Linked DNA regions of Styela clava. The protein of the gene in region 3 interacts with the protein of the main gene of each other region in a pairwise test. Links are inferred from orthologs where the notes say so. Each region holds a gene or a part of one and is shown on either strand. Other genes may lie near its edges.

Region 1 (7,765 bases), on a different chromosome or scaffold from region 3:
GCTCGACTTTAGCTCAACCTTGAAGCTATAAATTATTCAGTACTTTGTTGAAGATATCTTTTTACTCACACTTCCAGTTTAAAATTATAATTAGTCAGAGAAAGACATCCAGAGATATAGCAGAAATGAATAAATAATTTCTGACAGACTCGAAAAATTTTCAACATATGACCCGATAAAAAGAATTTTACTACAGAATGATTTATTATTAATTCAAATTTAATTCAAACGTATTAAACTATTATGACCAGATATAAGAAACAAAGAGAATAACAAGTTACTAATACATTGACATTCTTTATTAACTTTAAACTTTTTTACCTTCTTGGAGTATTGATAAAAAAAAAAATTTAAATTCATTAGTGTTGGCCCATTGGTTTTAAAGCATTAGACTACTAAAAATTAATGGCAGTACAAGTTGAAATCTCGGGTTGATGTAAAAAAAAATACCTGAAAATTGAATTTAGAGTTGTTGTTATTCATATTATGAGAACCAGGAAGTGCACGACTTTTAAGATTTGAAGGACTGAGCATTGGATCAGATCCTGATCTCGGGACATTCTGTCCATGATTCTTGATGCTCAAATCCACCTGACTCGTTGGTCGATTTGTGACTGGATTCACAACACAGATCTGTGCCTCATTATCCTTTTGCCTTTGTATTGGAGATGTAACATTCTCCTTGTTATCAAAAATATTTAAAGGAAATGGGCTAGAAGTATTACTATATCCAGGAGACATAGGATAATTTGAATTCGGAGAAGTTTGTCCGTTATAATTGATAACTCCACGATCTGGTAGATTTGGTAATGGGTCACTTGTTTTTCTTTGATGGGGTGGAATCTGTGATACAGGACTTCTTACAGCAGGAGTCGGCTGCTGAGCTGCATTCATTATACCATCAGGTGATCTCGTAGTTGAAACAACTTGTGTTGCATTTCCTTTAGGTTGGCGACGCAGTGAAGCATATTTTACATCAGAGTATGAGACAGGCACTGATCTATTCACTGGTTGTCCCAATATGACGCCTGTTCTTTTGGAAACTGGTAGTTTCTGTTCCACATAATAATGCACAAGAGCTGGAAGTGATTCGAATGAATGCTGTTCTAAGCAATACTGAGTAGTTGAATATGTTGTTGTATGTTGAACAGTAATCTTATTGATTTTGAAATGGTAGTATGCACTTTTGTACCTGAAAAGTAAGAAATGAGATTACTTTATGGGGCCAAATATTTCTTCCAACTGATTGTAGATTTGCATAAAATATAATATCTGATATTTCTATCAAATTATCACTCATGATAAAGGTGGTAGCTATTATAAGAGCAATTTTTAACTAAAAATTACCAATCAATTTGCAGCATTTTAAAATTTATTTAACTAACGAATTATTCAATTTATCAGCTCTTAAATAAAGATGAGAATAAAGAGGTCTCTAACGGGCTATTTTCCTATTTTTGGCTTCGTTCAGGCATTTTGTAGGAACTAGTATTTCATCAAAACATATGTTGTAATATTTTAGTTATATCAATTTACCGCACATCCTCACATATAAGCATATCTCGCATATGAGCCGACCGATCTCGCATAGAGCCCCTGATAATGGCCCTAAAACGATGAATTTATAAAAATTCGCATATAAGCGGACCCTACAAATCGTAACATGCCCTAAGCACCTATCACAGCAAATGGTTGCAGAAGAGATAAGATGATAATGATAAGAACTAATCATTCTTCTTCAAATGAACTTTGTGGAAAACGAAGGCATTTTTCGAATCATCATGCAAGTCACACACACACAAGTTGATATAAACCTATTTGTGAGCTTCATTATTGAAAAGAAAAACAAGTTTTTTCTTTATTTTATTTTAAATTTATCAGCAGTTTGCAAAATTTTTCATCCAGCTATTCTGGAACTAAGTTCCACTCCCAAAAGTGAGATGTTTCCGAATTCCTATAATATTTCCAAATTGAAAACTCTCTAATCCCAGTACCAAGTTACACCCAAGTGTGAAATCCTATGTAAACATTTCAGGTCAATCACTAACATCATGCTAGGAATTTGGCAAACAAACAATTAATATTCCTGTAGTAAATACGGTAATAGGCGGGTTATAGGCAGTGATCCAAAATGTATATATTTTTTGCTTCAACACATTTGGTACAGATGCATCTTTAGGCATTATCATTATAAAAATATTAATTTGGAAATCATTTGACTATCTGAGTTTCCGAAAAATTGTAATTTCAATAATCTGGTTGACTTATGATGCCTTCATTTATTTGTCTAGCAACTTGTTTAATACATTACCCATATTTATTGTAAAGCGTTACATGTATGCTGTATGTCGTTTAAATAGATCAATATTAAATCACATACCTATGTTCCATACCTATTTGCTTCCTATTAATTACTATTTATGTAGAATAATAAATTTAAATTTTGATAAAATTTCCAGACCAAGCGACACGAATAGCCTACCATACTTGGTCCATTTTAATTTTTTATATAATTATGATGTTTGAAAAATAATGTTTGACATTTTGTGTCTAATAGCAAACGTTAGACAGCAATTTTCCCTATTTATGATAAAGTAAATTGGACTCACTTGGACGAGAGAACATAATCTCCGACACTAGTTATTGATTCACGAACAAGAAAATCTCCATCTTTCATGACTAAATCTTCAGCAACGTTTCGAGGAACTTTACCATGAAACCAAGCATAACTACGAATATCTGCGCTTCCAGATCGAAGTTCATTATTGAGTTTTTCAAGTAAAATTTGTGGCGAAACATCCTCATCCAAGATTGCGTTAAGAACCAACTGAAAAAAACATTTCAACACCAGTCGGTAAGGTACCGGCAACTCCACATGCACCTTACCTAGATACTGTAAAGATACTAGGGTTTTATCTGCAGTCTACATACTCACCTCTTCATACATAGTTCTGCTCCTTCAAGTCGGCTGCGGCTCTCAGCAATCAAAAAACTTTTGCGCAAAGGTTACAGCAACAGCGTACAAGTTGCGGTCACGGAGTCAAGGTAAAAGGGTGGGCATATCCGACTTCTACCGTATATCCTTTTGTTTTGATTTTTCGGTATTTTAAAACAAAAATAGTAGAAATTAATAAAATTGAAATGACCTAACATGTAATGATATTTTCATATTTATCCCGGCTTGGTGGAGAAGACGACAATATGAATTACTAATATGGCGAACCATAGCCACTCTTCCGGTTACATGTCTCTGACAGGGAATGGCCCAGTTATTTGTTTCATATGCATTGACTTGGAAATATAATTGCGAAGAAATTAAGTGTACCTTGTAAAGATACCAAAATTGTTGGAAATTATCAGCGGAACAATTAAGTTAATCAAAAATGTCGTAACTTTCACATATTATTTCTGATCCAGGGGGTTAGAATTTTTGGACTGTGAGACTTGCTGCTCTATGAATACAACACTACCAAACTAGTTGACCACCAGAAAATCAGATTTTGCCAGTAATGGTTAGGAAACGATTAAAATATAAACTTTCCTTACTGTTCACTCATGTTTAGAAAATCGATCAATTCGGCACTGGCGACCATTACAAATTGATTAATAGGTTGTGGTAGGTAATTTTTCATTTTCAATATTTTTGATTACCGTGCAATTTGTTTTAAGTTCATGGCGTTTTTACTTAATAATTTCTGTATGGCTGAATGTGCGTGTGTGAAATACCTTTAGGTAAGTCAACACGTATGGAAAAATCTTCCATCTTATATTCTGTACGTTCTAAACCCTATTTAAGTTTTTGTTTGCTATTCTAACTCACTTACAGATTTTACTTGTTTCCATCAATCAATTTAATGCCTGTTATGCTGATTATGTAGTCAAAAACTCATACATACAGTATCTGGTGATCATCAAGGTGAGAAGACCTGACACATTGTAATGCAATACTATATAAAATTACCGCGCTGTCTGGAATGTCGCCATATCCTATGCTTGCGCTAGTTCCCAGAGACTGAAACAATCAATATATACAAAGTTGTCCGGCATAACTTCACCAACTGCATAACATATGACTAAGGATATCCTTGTTAAACATGAAATTCGCACTGCGCAGACGTAGTACTACGCAAATCTAGCACTTTTTTTGGTGTGCCGTACCCAGCATTCTAATTTTGCAACAAACTATTTTCCCAACGCAGCTTCCATTGAAGTTTAAAATCATTTTCAGTAACAAACCTTGTAACAGTTGTACAAAACTATATTAAAATTCATACAAATTTTGACACATACAGGCACTGTATAAAATGTTTAAGCGATAATAAAGCAATGAACCAAATAATAGTTTCAATAACATATTTCTCAAATCTAGGCATACAAAAAAATCTTCTAACTATGAAGCCAAAGCCTTTATGAAAAGATAAAAACGTGATCTTTGTAACAATCGTTACAAATGATACAGATGAGCTATTTATACAAAATGATCTCTCTCACAGTGAAAATTGGATGAAGAACTCTAGAATGGGTTTTACTGAGATAGCCACGCTAAACATATTTGTTCATCATAGTATGGGTCAAAGGTTAAGCTAGATATTTTTGGACCAACCTTGTGTTGAAGGAATTCATAAGAACGTGCATTCAAGTTTAATTGTACAGTTTCGCATTTTTATACCTGAATGTATTTGTGACCTTTTTTTGCGTTTCTGATCAGAATCAGTTTTAATGTAGTATAAACGCATGCTACGGGTCCTACGCATTATCATAAAGTTATTTTTGACACTGTAATATTCCAATTGAAAAATTCACAGGCTGCGTTCTTCTGGATCATGGTCGTTATGTTCATCTTTAGTTTTCCTATCTGTTACTTTTTGTTGGATGTTATTCAGACAATGTACAGTGTCTGAAACCAACATGTCTAAAACAGTATCAGTCAACTGCATTTTTACTGTTGTTTCGTCTTCATCATAATTCGTCCATTCAGGTTCTTCCTCCCTGAGTTCTTGAATCTGAAAATCAATAAAAACTAATATGAAAAACGTTAAATTAGGGTCAGAACCAACTTGAGAGTCAATTGAATACCATATTGTGAAGTCAACAACGAGTCAGTTGGTTCTTCAGAGCACAAATGTACAAAAGTCAAATTAAATATTGTAAATTATCTAGATTCTAAATAACCTAATAAATAGACTTTTAAGAATTCTTTGTCAAACTTGGCCAACTTGAAAAGTATATTTGAAATTTCCATATTTGAAAATATTACGGTAGTTCAAATTAATACGTTTCAGTAATCCCTGTTATTATTAAGCAGCCATTATGTGTCATTTGATCCTGAAGCAGAGGTCATTTCAGGGTAAGAGGAAGAGAAAAAGATGAAGCCTTCAACCAAACAATTATCCATATTACCAAGATGAGATCGACTTTATCCTTCTTTCTTCGACTGCCCCACTTCATTGTTATCTTTGGATCGAGTTTCTGAGGATCATTGCTCAAATTTAACAGTTTGGAAACCTGCTTGCTGACAATCTTCACAATCTCCTAGAATAAAATAATCGGCAATAAGAATAGAGAGGATCACTATGACAATCAAAAACTATACCAGCATTGCCTAACCTGGGGGTAATTTTTTCGTTTTAATTTTTTTTTTGGGGGGGGGGGATCTGAAGCAAAAGCCATAAAAAATGATGGCGAATACACTAATCTAATTTGACTTCCAATCGGATATTCGTTGTGAATTATCTACTATTTCGCCAAACATTGAACAGCCAGTTGACAATGAACAAAGACAGCCGTAAGAAACTTTGCTAAAATAGTAGAAAGTGCTAAACAGGTTAACAGCCATTGAATTATAAAGAAAGTAACTTTCAGAAAGTTAGCAGATTTTTGCTGTAATTAAGACAGCAAGCGAAGTTTTGTAATATGTGATCAATTTTACACAATCACGAGGTATAAACTCATAATACATGAAATTTTCACAGGACAGAAAAATTGTTAATAGACTTATATTTACATCCTCAGTTTCTGGCATCCTTCTGCAATATGATGGCCGACATACTGTCTTCTTTTTAAGCCATAATGGTCGTTTCAAGTTTTCCTCAGTTGAAGATTTGATGTTATATATTTCGGTGATCAATTCTCGAACCTACAATAGGATGGATAGAGTATATTATCAGTCTTTTAAAGAATTGCAATCTAAGAGACAGAGTTTGTCAAGCAATCATAACCTTAATGTTATTTCCCAGTAAACCTTGGTACGAATATGTAAAAACCCATTTCATTAACAAGACTCGCATAATATAAGTAATTTGAGAATTTCAAAAGGCATATATATACAGATCTCCTTTCATAAATCTGAAAACATTGTATTGCAAAATACCAGCAGTAAGTAAGATGTAACTGCACATACGTTACCACAACATCGAAGGGCAGACATTTATTGTATAATAGAGACAGATTTAATATTGCGCAATAGTATTCGATTATTCGGTTCGATTCGGCAAAAATATTCGATTCGAATCAAAAAAGTATTCGATTTTGGACAGCCCTACTTGTCATACTAAATGAGTTGCAATTTCAAAATTTCTTGAGCCAGAAGTTAAAATTTCAAAAAGCAGTAACCTGACTGAGCGTTTTCGAAGGGCAATTAAAGAAGACTTGCAGCGGGAGTCAAAGTCAGAATTTATTTAAATTAGAATTCAAGAGAGGAAGTCAAATAATTTTTATCAACTCAGGAATGTCGGGTGTATTTTTCCCATACTGTTTTACCTACCTGAATTTCACTCCAGTAAAACTACTTCACAAAATTTTGAAACAGTCCACCCTGAAAATATCTACTGGTATAGTGTCTACGAATACTGTGACTGGGCCAATCGCATTCTCACGAAAGCCAGCAGTAACCAAAATTACCATGTCGAAGAGACTTGTCTTGAATATGTGATCTGCGTTTAGATCGGCTTCTTTCTTTTCCTCATCAATTTCTTTATCGGAATTTTCATCTTTGGAAGAATCATCGGATGAAACGTTGAAAAGGAAATCAGGAATTTGAGTGTCTGTTAGCAATTCTCCTCCAAGAAACTTGGAATAATAGTAGTTTGTCTGAAAATAAGAGTTATTTTCTTTACTCTAAAAACACGGTAAAGACATAACCAGTCAAGAATGCAGGATTTGTCTGCAGGGCTGTGGTATCCTAGTTTGACAAGTTTTTATTGATATTGTACTCAAAGCTGTATTATCAAACTGAAGGAATTTTTTTTAATTCTGTCCGGTCTAGATTTTATTCTTCTAATGGTAATAATCCGAGTCTAAATTTCAGACAGAAAGTTAAGGGAGGTATGTGAAGTGGGACTCATAGGTTTTCTTTGCAAATGAACACTAAATAGTCTTTAACCGCAGTTATGGAATATTAGGTTGAGCATAGAAATCTTCATCAAAATAAATAAGATTTTACACTGATTATATTTAAAAACTGATAATTAGTCGATAGAAGACATGACACTACTTACTGCTTCTTTCACAAGTTTTAGTATAACTTCAGGTTTATGAGGAACAACAAATTTTGGAGGTGGAACAGGTTCTGTCCGTCCAGACAATACTTCAATAAGACGACCATCCTGTAAGACAATTTCAAAATAGTAAACAAGCAGAAGTCCAGAAAGTTTTAAAAAAAAAGCTCTTTACATATCGTTAGATACCATGGACACTTATCCAGAGTCTTTTTGAGAGAGAAAGACATAAAAAGTTATCTCCCATGCGATTAGAACCTGCGCTACAA
Region 2 (6,978 bases), on a different chromosome or scaffold from region 3:
AACTTCTCACGGCCTGAAATGAAAAAAAACGTGACATTCAAATTCGCGTCAATTCAAAATAGGGACAAAACATTTGCAAAAACAAAATAATCCCATACGTTCTGAGTTATATTGCGGTCATATCAATATTGTTTTGCAAAATAACTTGGCTGTCGCATGGGTAGACACAGCGGTTTTAACCAAAGATGTGAACTTTCGATTGCCCTGGTTTTATTAAAAATGTAACTATAGGCTATATATAGCCTACATGTATTTTGCCGGGTCCGCGACAGGATCTTAGTTAATTAGAGAAATATCAAATTTCATATCAATTATCAATCAATAACAAATTTTTGTTGGTAATTAATAGGTCCTTCCGAATAACAGGAGATGATATGTAGTGGGTCGAGACTCGTATTCATATTCAGAATTATGGATAATTTCAAAAAAACTTGGGCCAACTACGTAAATAAGTGGAATTCATATTTAGATTCCCTTTTTAAAAAAGATTTTTCATTTTATTTATTTTTCATTCACTAGTTTATGAATTGGACAATACTAGTAATTTACGTTAGAAAAAGGGGTATTCAAAAGACTATAAGGGAAGGATGAAAATAGGAAGTATCTAATACTATCTATCCATTGAGAGAATTGAGAGTTTAGTATTTATTATTGATAATGGGGGTAGTCTCCCAAAAAAACAGTACACAGGGGTGCAGACTGGCCATTCGAAATGGGGGTTTTAAAAATAACAATACCAAGTTGTGGTAATTCCCTTGCAGCGAATTTTGAGACAATCACAGCAATTACAACAATAGTAAAAAAAGGTAACGTTTTCAGCTGATATTGATCCTTTTTGCTTTGGAAAATATATGATCCACAGCCGTAAATAAGGAATAACCCATAAAATGAAATTCTATAACATTTGCATTCAACCTAAACAACGACTACGTTAAATAATAAAGCTTTTTACCTCAACTAGAATCTTAATCAAGGAATACAATTCATTTAAGTAAAATAGAAAAGTGATTGAATAAATCTTCCAATAAATAGTTCCCATTTTGTCAGGATCTGGATTATTCTGGAATAAATTGGTGGTGGTAATTTTAATAGGGTAATATGAAACCGACAATATATGAAAATGCACATTGCACGTGGTGTAAGTGTTTCTTATTTCCTGTGCAGTACATAAAATCTTTGCGATTTATAGTATCTAAACTAGCGTGCTTAAAACAACTTTTTTCACTTTCTCAAAACTCCTAAAACAAAATTTATGATCCTCTTCTGTTTTATTTTTAGTGTTCAATGTGCATGATATTGTTATCATTCGTAAATGAGCGTAACACGTAGCTCGTCGTTACAAAGTTCCAAATTTGGGACTGGTTAATACCGAGATGTGGGTTCCATCCTATAATCGCAGCCCTGGCTGCACCACTGTAGGTAAACTACATTTATAGTAGTTCACTTATTGTTAGATTGAATGAAGGCCAGTTTTATTATAAATGTTCATCACTTGCATTTCAGTATGTTTTTTACAATAATTATTGACTTGACAGGTTCACCGTCAAACAGGTCAAACTTTCCTTCATAGTTTATAAAAGCAATCAGTTTGATCACTGCTTATTTCTCACACACAAGTGATAGCAGACAAGAAGAGAATATAATTTTTGTGAAATATTGTTCAAAACAACAAGACTCTTTGAATATAATAAGTTGACAATAATAATTGAAAATGATATTCGAATCAAGACTCAACTTTCTCTGCAGTACTCGGTACATAATGAATCAGTTTCAAAACACATGAGGTTAACTATTCAAAACAAGTTTTAGGAATAAATACAAATCTAAATTATAAGTTACTGGTACCTAATTAACCACCTAATTAATTATCTTGTTATCTTCATTTAAACATATATATAAGAGTATGGGTGGGCAACAAGAGCAGACGCCACTATGCAGTCTATTCTTTATTAGTACACAATGACGTTTAGGAAACTATGCCTTATAGACTTGAACTAACAACTAAAACATTTTCTGGTAATTCATACTGGTGCTTTCGAACACGAATTGCATAAAATCGCCTCAATTCTAATATAAGTGCTACACTCGTAAAGCTCAAAACTACACAATACCAACCAAGGATTTTTAAGACTTGTGTCAAAGATGCAAAAGCTGATTGACACAGACATTGATTAAGTATATATGACCGCAGTCTTCTGTTGCATAATAAAAATCTATTTTTGAGCCATTCATTAAAATAGGTCCGCACCCCTGTGCTAGGACATACCAAAAAGTCCCTTTCAATCTGTTTACTTGACCAAGAGAAGCAGGAAGCTACAAAATTGATAACTTCCTTTTTGATAAATTAATAATTTGACAAGTAATAACCCACATACCGAAAGCAATTAATAATTATGATAGCGGTAATGTTTACTCAACTTAATCCAAGTATGTTTGATAATATTAACTTTGTGACATATGGTCTTTGTGTTTCGAGCAGTATTAAAAATGTTAGTTTTTTACCTTTGCTATGGTCGAACTTGATAAATCTCAACTTTAGTTTTTTTAACTACTGTGAATGTAAAACTAATAAATAAATAAAAGGAATAAATATTCAAATTGCTACAGAATTATCCGAGTATACCACTCACACAAAATATATATAAAAATAATAAATAGAAAGTGTAATACATTGTCAGACTACAGCAGTGTAATATGTAACAGTGCACCCTTGTTCAGTTGTTATGTCCTCACGAGCATAGATTGCAGAAGACAAAAAGTATGACCAGTGCAAATTGAATGTATGAATTTCACTTACCTAAATCCTCCATCTCCCAACTTTTAAATGGTATAATTTTTCACAAATGTGAAACAGATTTTTGAATAACAAAAAACTTATTCAAAGAGCTAGTTCAAATCAATCCTCAGCTCCTCTAGTCAAAGTTATTGCAGTGCTGTTACCCCAAAAACAGGAAAGCAGACGATTCAAACAGATTTTCTGTTCCCGTTTTCATCTGTCGCTATATTCGAATGTTGCTTGATGATAAAATACCGTACTGAAATAAGTTGTTACTGTGTTTATGTGAGCACTCTCAGACTATGGCTTTCAAATTCTGAAAATAGGACACAAACTATTAGATAAACGAACAGCGTTAGCGAACTGGTACCGTCAATACGTCACTGTGTTAAAAGAATGAGTTCCGCAGTACCGGTACAGGAATAGCTCAGGAACAGGACACGGATAGTTCATATTATGACTGTATGACAATGCAGTAACTACCGTATATGCTGGACTGACTAATAAGGTTACATATCCTAAAAAAATTGTAGTTTGTGAGAATCGATCGAGTAGCACTTCAATTTCATAATTTGATAATTGAAAAACATTCAGAATTGTGTCAGATATAAAAATATGAATTAATTTATGGTAGCATTAGAACTAACGGTCAAGTTACCCTACATTCATATTTCAGTACAGTATGTACGCTTTTCTTTAATTCATACAGTAATATAAAACATAGATATGCAGATGCAGTTATACAAAAAAGTGAAACACAACAACTTATCTATCTACTTTTTTTGGGGGGGTGGCCAAATTAAAATCCATTGCCAATTTGGATTCATGAATATGATATTTTTGGTTATCGAAATACATGATTTCAAATTAGTTCAAAACTATCTACCTTTCCTGTTATCACAATTAATGTAATTATGTAAACTTGCCGTAGAACCGAAAATACGAACTCTTAGTAATAAAGAATTTGACATTCACCGCTGTCATCGACTACTAGAGTAGACACAATTTTGCAATATGCTCTATAGCGTCTCCACGTGATGACACAAATCACGATCCCGGATGAATCGAAATGTACCTAGGAGAGAGAGAGAGAATTTATTGTTTCTTCAAACCAGAAAACACATACAATATATATATATATCAGTGGCGGCGCGTCAATATGGCCAACCGGGGCAATGCCCCGGTTGTTTTTTCGGTATAATAAAAAATATTCGAAAAATACCTCAATATTGGTTGCACAGACTGTCTACAGTCTACACTAGCCATATTCTCCCGACATGGTTCATTTTTCGCTCGCAAAGCCTTCGCCGAACGTCGACGGGGCGACGCCGATTTTGCCCCGGTTGCTCATTATTCTCTCTTATCTTCCACTCGCCGCGTTTGTCTCGTTTGTTTTCTGTTTCTTTTACTAAATCATCGGGGCCGATCGGGGCTAGCCCCGAAATTATGACGACACAATGCCGACGTTTCTTACAACAACGTGTTGACATATTCACGCATTGAGGCGGCAGGGGTAAAGCTTCTGCTAGAAGATGGTGAGTTTTCATTTTTTCTCGCTTTTTTCTCCACAATATTCTATCACGTGGATGTATTATACGGCGCATTGCAGTAAAGGCTAATGGATGGAGCGTCTGTGCAGTCGTGTATTTCAGACTTCTGCGATGCTGTATCTCGTATCCGGGAAACAATAAAATACGACGACACATGGAGTGCTTCTTTACGCCGCGGGCAAACAACGCAGCGTTTGATTTTGTCTGCAAAGGAATGCTGTGACATTCTGGTGAATCAAATAGGCGATCGTCTGCGCACTGAACACCTTGCCGCGTTCTCTTTGATGAACCCCAAAAATTTTTCAAAATTTGCACGTCAATTTCCCATCCATTTGTTGGCTACTGTCTCCAAATTTTACCCCATGATAAACGTGGGTAAATTGGAAAATGAATTGCGATGTATATACACCAATCAAACTTTTTTGAACATCACATCAACTTGCGCGCTCTATGGGTTCCTCATAGATAACACTCTAGTAACTACCTTTGCGGCGTCTGCAAAATTTTTGGACATCATTTTGACGACGCCTATTTCTTCCGCCGACGCAGAGCGAACATTCAGCACGCTGAAGCATATTAAAACGTATCTCAGAAACACAATGAAGCAAGATAGATTAAATTCCTTGGCTGTTTTATCCATTCACAGAGACGTTATTTCTGCATGACTTTAATCAGCGCGTTATTGAGCATTTTGCTTCCAAGAAACCGCGGCGTGTTGCATATATGTTCAAGCAGTAGAAGTCTAGCAGCATATATATCTATGAGTGAGCGACGCATGTCCTTATCTTTGCATTAACTTTCCTTTCTTCATAGTAACGTTTTGAACCTTATTTTAGGTTTTGTCTGCTTTCGCGAAGTTTCTGTTAATATGTCATTGTATTTATCTGGGTAAACATTGCCTTTCCTTTTGAAAGAGGTTTCAAAATAAACTATGTCTATATTTTTTAATCCCTTGACTTTGACCGGTTTTAAAGACACTTTCTTATCGTTAAAAATTGTCGCTTTTGCCGATTGGTTGTTACCGATGGAATGGTTTTTATACTCATAAAATGATGGGCGAACTTACAGCGCTCATCTTGTCCCCGTAGATGGGGGTGACTTGGTCCCGCAGTAGCTTGCCCTGGTTGTCAAAATGACCACGCGCCGCCACTGTTATATATGATAGCAAAATGAGAAAAATTAGGTTTCGGTAGATGACTTGGTGGTGACGATACGACCATTAACAGTCATCTGAGTCGGTTACCAGCTAAAGCAAGCACATGAATAAATAAATTAATAACACAAGTCCATGCTTCCGAAAACAAATAACTGGCTAACTAATCCCATACCGACCTGGTAACCGGACGAGAGGCCGTGGTTCGCCATATGATTAAGACGTCTTATCGGCTTTCCTCTCCCTCGGGATAAATATGTAGATCCCGTAATATTACACTCTCAAGATATACATATGGAAAAAATATATACATACACTATGTAAAAAAATGATATCTGATTAGATATGAGATAAATATCTAATCGGGACTAGGAAGTTATTTAAATAAATTTTAAATAGAGAAGAGCAAAAAATAAGAATTCCATACCAAATATATTATTATTTAGTATATTAATTTACACTTTCAATATATTCTGAATCTTCTTTTGTGCTTACACACGATAAAATATAAGGGATAAGATCACAGGGAAATTGAAAGTTTTATAAGTGACAATAATGTGTCGTCTGAATGTGTAAGGATCGTTTCGAGAATTGCTCTACTGACGTACTTTGCTGTCAAATACATATAGGCGCGCATATTTATCTATCTTGGTGTTTGGTTCATTTGGTGAAAGGATTATTGTTATCAAACCAGGAAATGTCCGGTTTCAGTAAATCGTTTAGGAATAGAGCAAAATGGCGTTGGAAAGGAGGGCTATGAATTTATATCTCACTGCAAATGCCGCGAAATTCTGTTTGAACAAAATTGTTGATTTTTTGGGGAGTGGCGGTGGTATGGCCCCACAGGCCCCCGCACTGACTACGCCTATTGATACAGTACCAGTTATGTGATATTTTCAGTACAAGGATACAGTTGGCTTTGACGATCTCTCCGACAATAGTCTTGAAACGGTACATTATTTCTCGCGGAATTGGTGGAACTGTCTTCTTGACGAATATCACAGTGCGTAATGTAAGGATCGGGCATGATTAAAGTCCTGGACAAAAACGTTGTTGAAAATTACGGCCAATAAAGTAAGTAAAAGATGATAACATTTATATATATATGAAAATAGTTTAAGTAATTAAAAGATGATAACATTTATATATATTTATATATATATATATATGAAAATAATTTAAGAGAGAAAGAATTGAAGATCGATATGATGATGACTTTGACATGTGACTCACCCTCCTGATAATTCGGTATCCATAAAGAATGTAACTAAGTATGAAAACCATGATATAATAAACTATCATACAATCATATAATGTATCTGTAATTCTGGAGGCCTATAATAGATGGAAATCATTTGAAGAGGAGGAATTGAATAACGATATTGCAATGAATTTATCTGATTACAGCTCGCTCTATGACTCGGTACTTTTCATGGTTTCAAAATAGTTTGAAAGGGAATGCCACTCAGAGAGTGTTATATTAGTAACAGGGGGTTCGG
Region 3 (7,231 bases):
TACATTAATGTAAACGAGAGCGTCTTCGGAGCACCTCACATTATTGTAAAAGTTGCGCGGCCGTACTTATAATACGGTCTCTTCTAACGCACCGCTAACCACGCGCTTCGGTTTTGCACGCCCTTCAACGTTACGCCCTTATTATTATCGCATGTGTTCTCACTTTTTCACAACCTAATTCATTTTTGTTACAATTCAATGTTTCTCCCATTGCCAAAATTATTTTCGTGTTATTGTCGGCAGTCGCGAGAGAAATGAAAGTGGCAAACAAACTGTATTTCATTACAACAATTAATTATTATCGCTTAAAGCCTTAAAATACTAAATAGGTTTAAAGTTGTTATAAACAATTTTCACAGCTATACGTATCATTTCACGTTATGAATTTCGTGTGCAAGGCCCAAGCATAATTTGATGGCAAAGATCATATCATTTACTATGTCGAAACGCTTTTTCGACTTTACAGACCGCAAAAACTATCCGAAAAAGATAACCATTTTTGTGTTCGATATATGAAATAATTGTCCATTCCACCACGCTTTCGTGAAGTAGTGCAATTTACTACATTTATGAAGGTTTTATTAAGTTTCATTGCATCAGTGTTTGGATTACCTCGCGTTTCGCCAGATTACTGGCATGATTACAGATCACAAGGGTGGTCAAAATAGTATATTTTCATTGAATCGAATAATTTGTCGAAATCGAATAATTGTCGAAAATCGGGTTGAATTGGGGGTTTTATTCCGATTTTTAACTTCTGAGTCGCCTTTGATCTTTCTTGTCATCGTTTGTAAATTAACCTTCCCAATTTTAAGCTAAATATATTATCATTTCTGACGGCGGAATGCGGATATTTATGAAGACGATAGTTCACCTTTTTGATTTTACTTTTCTAAAGTGTGATTGCTTTATTTACGTATTAAATAAAGAATAAAAGCCCAGCAAAGTCATTGCGTGAATACTGAATGCTATTTTGAGTTCAAATTATGATTAAATAAGTCGGCAATAATGGCAATTCTACTAGTCAAATAATAATTTCTTTGTACAATTTGCGAAAAATTTCGCACAATAATTCCACTTCCACTCAAACTGTAAGCGTGAATGGTTATTTTTCAAAATAAGTATTAAATAAAATGGTATACCCAACCATTTGTGAGAATATCTATATGTGGATAACAAAATCTTATAATCCCGGGATTTTTTGGAAATGATTGCGGAATGCGGATTGAAAAAAACAGTCCAAATCCCGGGATTTCCCGTAGTCTCAACCATTGTACCTGCTTCGAAAAGTTCGCTGTGCGTAAATGTTGCTTCAACAGTCTTTTTATTATTATAAATCTAATACTTACTTAACTTATGTTAAGTTGCATGCACAGTACCACGGTCTATTTGTCGTTTGGGTTGAGTACCGGTACCGTACCTGCTAGTGGTGCACTCATACCGGTACTGCAGTATCGTCAGAGGACGGATATCGTGTCAAACTAGTCTATCGTGTACCTTAAAACACTGACATATTACAAAAAACCTACAGCATCTCTAGTACAGCATCTCTTGGATCATCTACCGCCCAACCACATGAGAATACACTGCAAAATCGCAGCATCCCCCCAAAAAGTGGTCCTGGCAGCAGTCGTCATGCCCTGATGAGTCGTATGAAAGTCGGTAATTGTCAACCGTGCCAAATAAGTAAATCATTCATTTCCACTTCTCCACAATTTTAATGTTGTATGCTAACACTGTTCAGTAGCTGAATTGTAGTATACTCTATATATAGTTTGAGTTTTTTTTTAATAAAAACATCACTTTTTCACACACGATAACACATAAATCCAATTGCACTTAAAAATATGAGTTTATGATAACTTGCCACCTCTTTAAGTGGTTCGACAATTTACATTTTCTAGTTGCAATAGTTTTTTCACAGTTATAAACACTTTTTATCATATATAAAAAGTTTGAAAGGTTGAAGCGCTAAGCAACATTTTTTTGGTTAGCAACAACACTTTACTAGAATGGTTCACAGATTGTGTGGACCAAACTTAGATTGCTGTCACCGAGGTTTACTGAGTAGTGCTACTTGGTTGAAAGTCTTTGTAGTAAAACCAAAATTGAACATGTTGTTAATCTTGAGTGCGATATTTATGCCATAGAAAAAATAACATCCTTGTAAATAAAAGTTACCGTACCCGTCACAAGATTTGACCTCTCTTTCCCAGAGTGAATTAAAGGTAGTCGCCGTTAGGCTTCGCTAAAGAGCAGTCTTAAAAGTCTGATTTTGTACGCTGATTTCAGTAACGCTGGCCGCCTGCTTTTCCTCCTACTTTCGTGCACTTTTTAGCAGTCTAGGACAGATTCACGCCTTTGGTGTGTTAGTCTGTTAGTAGACACCGGTAGCCTGAATATAAGTATGTACCGTAATGTAAATGCCGTAGAAAGTGAATTAGTTGTCTGTTTTACTGCACTAGTCTATCAGCCGATCGGTTCTTATACTTTTTCTTTATAGACTGCCAGTACGGTCTGACGGTACCGGTACCGGTCTGGTGGGCGGTGGCTGTCAATTTGGCTTTTCATCTTCTTCCTCCTAGCTGCCCAGAGAAAAAAGGAAGTAGTGGAAAGATTGTGAACAGTTTGATTATATAGTAAAGACTTCCTCCTCGTGAAAATGAATATTCCCTCCAAACCAGGGCTATTGAGTCGGAGATAATTTACGGTACGGTACAAGCTCAGCAGTATCAGGGTGTGGCGGATCATGCTACTGTCTGACTGTGCTAGGTGTCAGGAATACGCTCACCACCAGTACCGGTACGGTACCTTATGTGGCTGACGGCTAACTCGCCATGAGGGCTAACTCGCCATGGACCACTCGCCATGCGACGGCGGTTAACGGGTTAGCCTGCAACTGTGCGGAGGCTCTTCTTGTAATGGGAGATGGAAAGGTGGCTGTTTATACTAACAACTTCAATAGTAAGGATAAATATATTAAATTAAATGTGTTTGGTTACAATACCTACTGTGCAAATGGTAACAATGGTCAATTATAAAGAATAAAGACATGGCGAGTTAGCCCTCTCTCGAACTCGCGATGTCGATCGTCAATTATAAAGAATAAAGACATGGCGAGTTAGCCCTCTCTCTCTCTCTCTCGAAATGGCGATGTCGATGGTCAATTATAAAGAATAAAGACATGGCGAGTTAGCCCTCTCTCTCGAACTCGCGATGTCGATCGTCAATTATAAAGAATAAAGACATGGCGAGTTAGCTCTCTCTCTCTCTCTCGAAATGGCGATGTCGATGGTCAATTATAAAGAATAAAGACATGGCGAGTTAGCCCTCTCGAACTCGCGATGTCGATCGTCAATTATAAAGAATAAAGACATGGCGAGTTAGCCCTCTCTCTCTCTCGAACTCGCGATGTCGATCGTCAATTATAAAGAAAATAGACATGGCGAGTTAGCTCTCTCTCTCCCTCTCTGCTCGCAATCAACGGCTGTTAGAATAAAATGAGACTGCCGGTAGCAAAATAGAACTTTTGATATATTTAGCGTTGTTGGTTATTCAGAGCTCATACAATCAATTAATATGATGATATATTTAGCATGCTTAGATGAAAATGATAAGTTGAGACATCCTTTGCGCGTCGAGTACCGTACGGTACCGGTATGCCTTCCGACATATAAGCACGTTTTCTTGTCACTTTGTTACCATTTGCACAGTAGGTATTGTAACCAAACACATTTAATTTAATATATTTATCCTTACTATTGAAGTTGTTAGTATAAACAGCCACCTTTCCATCTCCCATTACAAGAAGAGCCTCCACACAGTTGCAGGCTAACCCGTTAACCGCCGTCGCATGGCGAGTGGTCCATGGCGAGTTAGCCCTCATGGCGAGTTAGCCTCCACCCCCTTATGTTACTGGTACGACACAAGTCATGTACCGGTACGGTATCTCCTGAGATGATTGTTTCTCCGTGATTGTTTTAGTAAACTAAATGCCGGGACATCTTGGAATCAGAGAACTGTGGCTTACTGTCTATGCTAAATTCTAGTTCAAAATTACGGATGGCAAACATATTTTAAACTGAACATAGACCAATAAAAACCGCTGTGTTTCATTGTCCTCTTCGTTACCGTATTTTTGACTCCTGTCTACAGGACTAAGAAAAAAATGTTTACACTTGATTCAAAACTTATTTTTTCTGTATAGTTTGGCTAAAATGTAAATTATATAGGTTTTAATATCCTATCCATTTTAAAATTTGAATTGCAAAATGACTGCTGGCAACATTCTTGCAAAAGCATTGTATGATAATTTGGCAGAGACAGAGGATGAACTTAATTTCCATCGCGGAGATATTGTTACAGTTATCGAGCAAAATACTGCAGGAATTGATGGATGGTGGCTTTGTTCTTTGAATGGCCGGAAAGGCATTGCACCGGGGAATCGCTTACGCTTGATGCCCTTAATGCAAGGTATTTCGCAACAAACTGTTTTGGAAAAACCTTTGATAAATGTGGAAGATGAAGAATACGATATCCCAACTCACCAGTATTATAATCAGAATAACAATAATAATGACCCTAATGATGTTTATGATGTCCCGGTTTCGAGGCATTTCGGGTCACGACCGGAACTCGATCTTGACCCTGATGAGGTATATGATGTCCCACCAGTTCATGCTACATTGCATACATCAAACATTCAATTGAGCAATGAAAATTTACTAACGTCTTCACCTCAACATCGGACGGTTACAATTGAACAAGAAGTCTATGATGTTCCTTCTAATCTAATCGCTCCTGCGAATATAAGCAACATAACCAGTGAGTATGATCCATCGGAAATTTATGATGTGCCACCAAATCGGTCTTTAGAGCCCGAGGAAGTATACGACGTACCCGTGTCTAATAAAATGTCAGGGCCTGAACCACTAGATGTCAGTGCAATGCTCGTACAACAAGAGGAAGACGAAGAAGAATATGATATTCCTCCGTCACGTCCGTTTGGCCAAGATACGGTCGATAGCGGTTTGATTCCAATGTATCAAGCTTCAACTCCTTCATCGAAAGTGGTTAGCTCCGATCGTCTTGATTCACCGGATTTAATTTACGATGTCCCATCATCTAATCGTTCAGCTGGTGATGTCACAGATGGGAGTTTGAATTTGAGCAGCGTTAGCACAAACTCAAAATTTCATCCTGGAAATCGTAGCTTGTTGAAACAAGAATCTGAAGACTATGTTTACGATGTGCCGCCACGAATCACACGAGAACCGTTATCAACTTCACAACAGACTGAAAACGAGTCACTAGATCTCGTCATCAAACGTCTATCTCTTGTCGGTTCAGCGGAATATAAAAATGATCGTAAATCAACTTCATCAAGTGATTCTCTTTCTAGTATTATTGCAGCGAACGCCAACTATACGGAGTTGAATCTGGAGTTATCATCAGCCATTGACCAACTTATAAAATTGAAACAGTCTCTGGAAGACAGTGTTTCGGTGCTGTTAACCCACGTCTATGAAGGCTGGAGGTTAAAAGAAAACATTTCTGGCAAAATTGGTGTGATAAAAGGAGTTTTCGAGGTCGTTCTATCAGCAGTTGGGCAATATGTTGAATTCGCAAGAGGAGCAATGGCTAATGCTAATGCAGCCCAGCAGCGAGGTCTATCTGTAACTTTACCCCGAGCTCTTATAACAGGGATGCATAAACTTTTGCAACCTCTGGAAGAAGATAATTTAATGTTACAGCAAGCGTTTACTGCATTAGATCAAGCATATTGGAGTCTTGGTAAAGTAGTATCAAATGATCCAGACTTCGGGGTCCCTGATGAGATTGATAGCTTCGTTATGACATCCCGTGCTGTGTCAGACGATGCTCGCCAGATAGCTGCGTTCATTCACACACACTCGCAATACCTTTTCAAGAAAGTGGAGACACGGCCTCCAACTGCTTTTGAGAATTACAAAGCACAACAGATTATTCAAACAAGGCCTTTACCAGATCTACCTCCCCAAAAGCTACGGTCTCCCACTACTATTATCACAAGACCAGATGAAGACTCCTGGCTTGAGGATTATGATTATGTTGCATTGGACGACCAGGGTCAAGCCATACAAGATGGTACATTCAATAACAGCAATTCAAGCGTGATCAACGAGGTTTCAATAAAGGTGAAAACGCGACATATCGAAGTGTTACAAGTTTTGGAAATGAGTAATAAACAACATGGCGTCCCCAAGATTATCAACGGTAAAACAAACGAGAATAACTCAATAACTAATGACCAATTTACTCTCCAAGACATGGTTGAAGATTTACCAATTCTTGTTGAAAGCCTTGTATCAGCAATAAAAGGATTTTACTCGTGTTTGGATAATAACGACCCGCCGAAAACATTTGTCGCACTTAGCAAGCAAGTTATTCTTTGCGCCCACGAACTTGTCTTTTTTGGAGATACTTTATATCGACGGTTACACCATCAACAAATGCAAGATATAGTTAAAGGACATTGCACAGAAATATGTACTTCATTAAAACGAACTGTTGCGGCAACTAAAAATGCAGCCCAGCAATGGCCTTCTGTAAATGCAGTGCAGGAAATGATTGACAGAGTCACAGACATTTCTGCATCAGCACATCAATTTAGAATTTTACTCAGTCAGTGTTCTGTAAGGTGAGCAAAAATCATTGTGGCAATTAAAACTTTTTATGTATAAATCAGTGCTGTGGACTCGCGATTGTAAAATCTTGACTCCAACTTCGGCTCAAAAAATCAAATTTTGATATCAAACTATCGCATATGCAAGGTACTTCAATTACCGTAATAGACTTGCATTGAGACATCTTAGTAAACTTGATGCTTTCTAAATATCCAACTCCGGGAAATTTCGACTTGTCATTTAATTTGAATGTATAACCCCGACTTCACAGCTGTCATGTGAGTACGTTTCCCTTGGTAGCATACCTATACTTGACTTACCGTAAATCAAGGTCAAATATGTGCCATTCTCAAAACCGTTGCGCAACAAGTCTAGCACCTATCACTTGTCTTATTTTTATGGAACATGTGGTGCTAATTTAAAACCTTCATTTCAGTTTTATATTTTTTATTTCAAACATAATTGAATGATTTATCAAGAATATTTTTGTCAATTTACATTCGGTGCATGGTTTTTTTCTGTCGTGTCTATATTCTCCCTAGTTGAGGAAAGCAATGAAATAACAT

The links. The genes of interacting proteins can lie anywhere in the genome.
Region 1: the proteins of enhancer of filamentation 1-like (region 3) and breast cancer anti-estrogen resistance protein 3 homolog interact in a two-hybrid assay, tested with the Drosophila melanogaster proteins (2 studies listed by BioGRID). The link is inferred for Styela clava from reciprocal best matches to the Drosophila melanogaster genes p130CAS and CG9098.
Region 2: the proteins of enhancer of filamentation 1-like (region 3) and paxillin-like interact in a two-hybrid assay, tested with the Drosophila melanogaster proteins (2 studies listed by BioGRID). The link is inferred for Styela clava from reciprocal best matches to the Drosophila melanogaster genes p130CAS and Pax.

The regions. Positions count from the first base shown.
Region 1 is NC_135254.1:11,557,299-11,565,063, reverse strand, and holds the start of breast cancer anti-estrogen resistance protein 3 homolog, read right to left. Parts: upstream 3,093-7,765; 5' UTR 2,948-3,092; coding exon 2,936-2,947; intron 2,828-2,935; coding exon 2,610-2,827; intron 1,193-2,609; coding exon 451-1,192; intron 1-450. Other genes in the region: centrosome-associated protein 350-like, read right to left, coding at 4,800-5,003, 5,401-5,532, 6,005-6,136, 6,901-7,089, 7,497-7,604.
Region 2 is NC_135252.1:7,085,471-7,092,448, forward strand, and holds the start of paxillin-like, read right to left. Parts: upstream 3,093-6,978; 5' UTR 2,811-3,092; coding exon 2,798-2,810; intron 1-2,797.
Region 3 is NC_135250.1:27,720,954-27,728,184, reverse strand, and holds the start of enhancer of filamentation 1-like, read left to right. Parts: upstream 1-4,177; 5' UTR 4,178-4,271; coding exon 4,272-6,683; 3' UTR 6,684-7,231.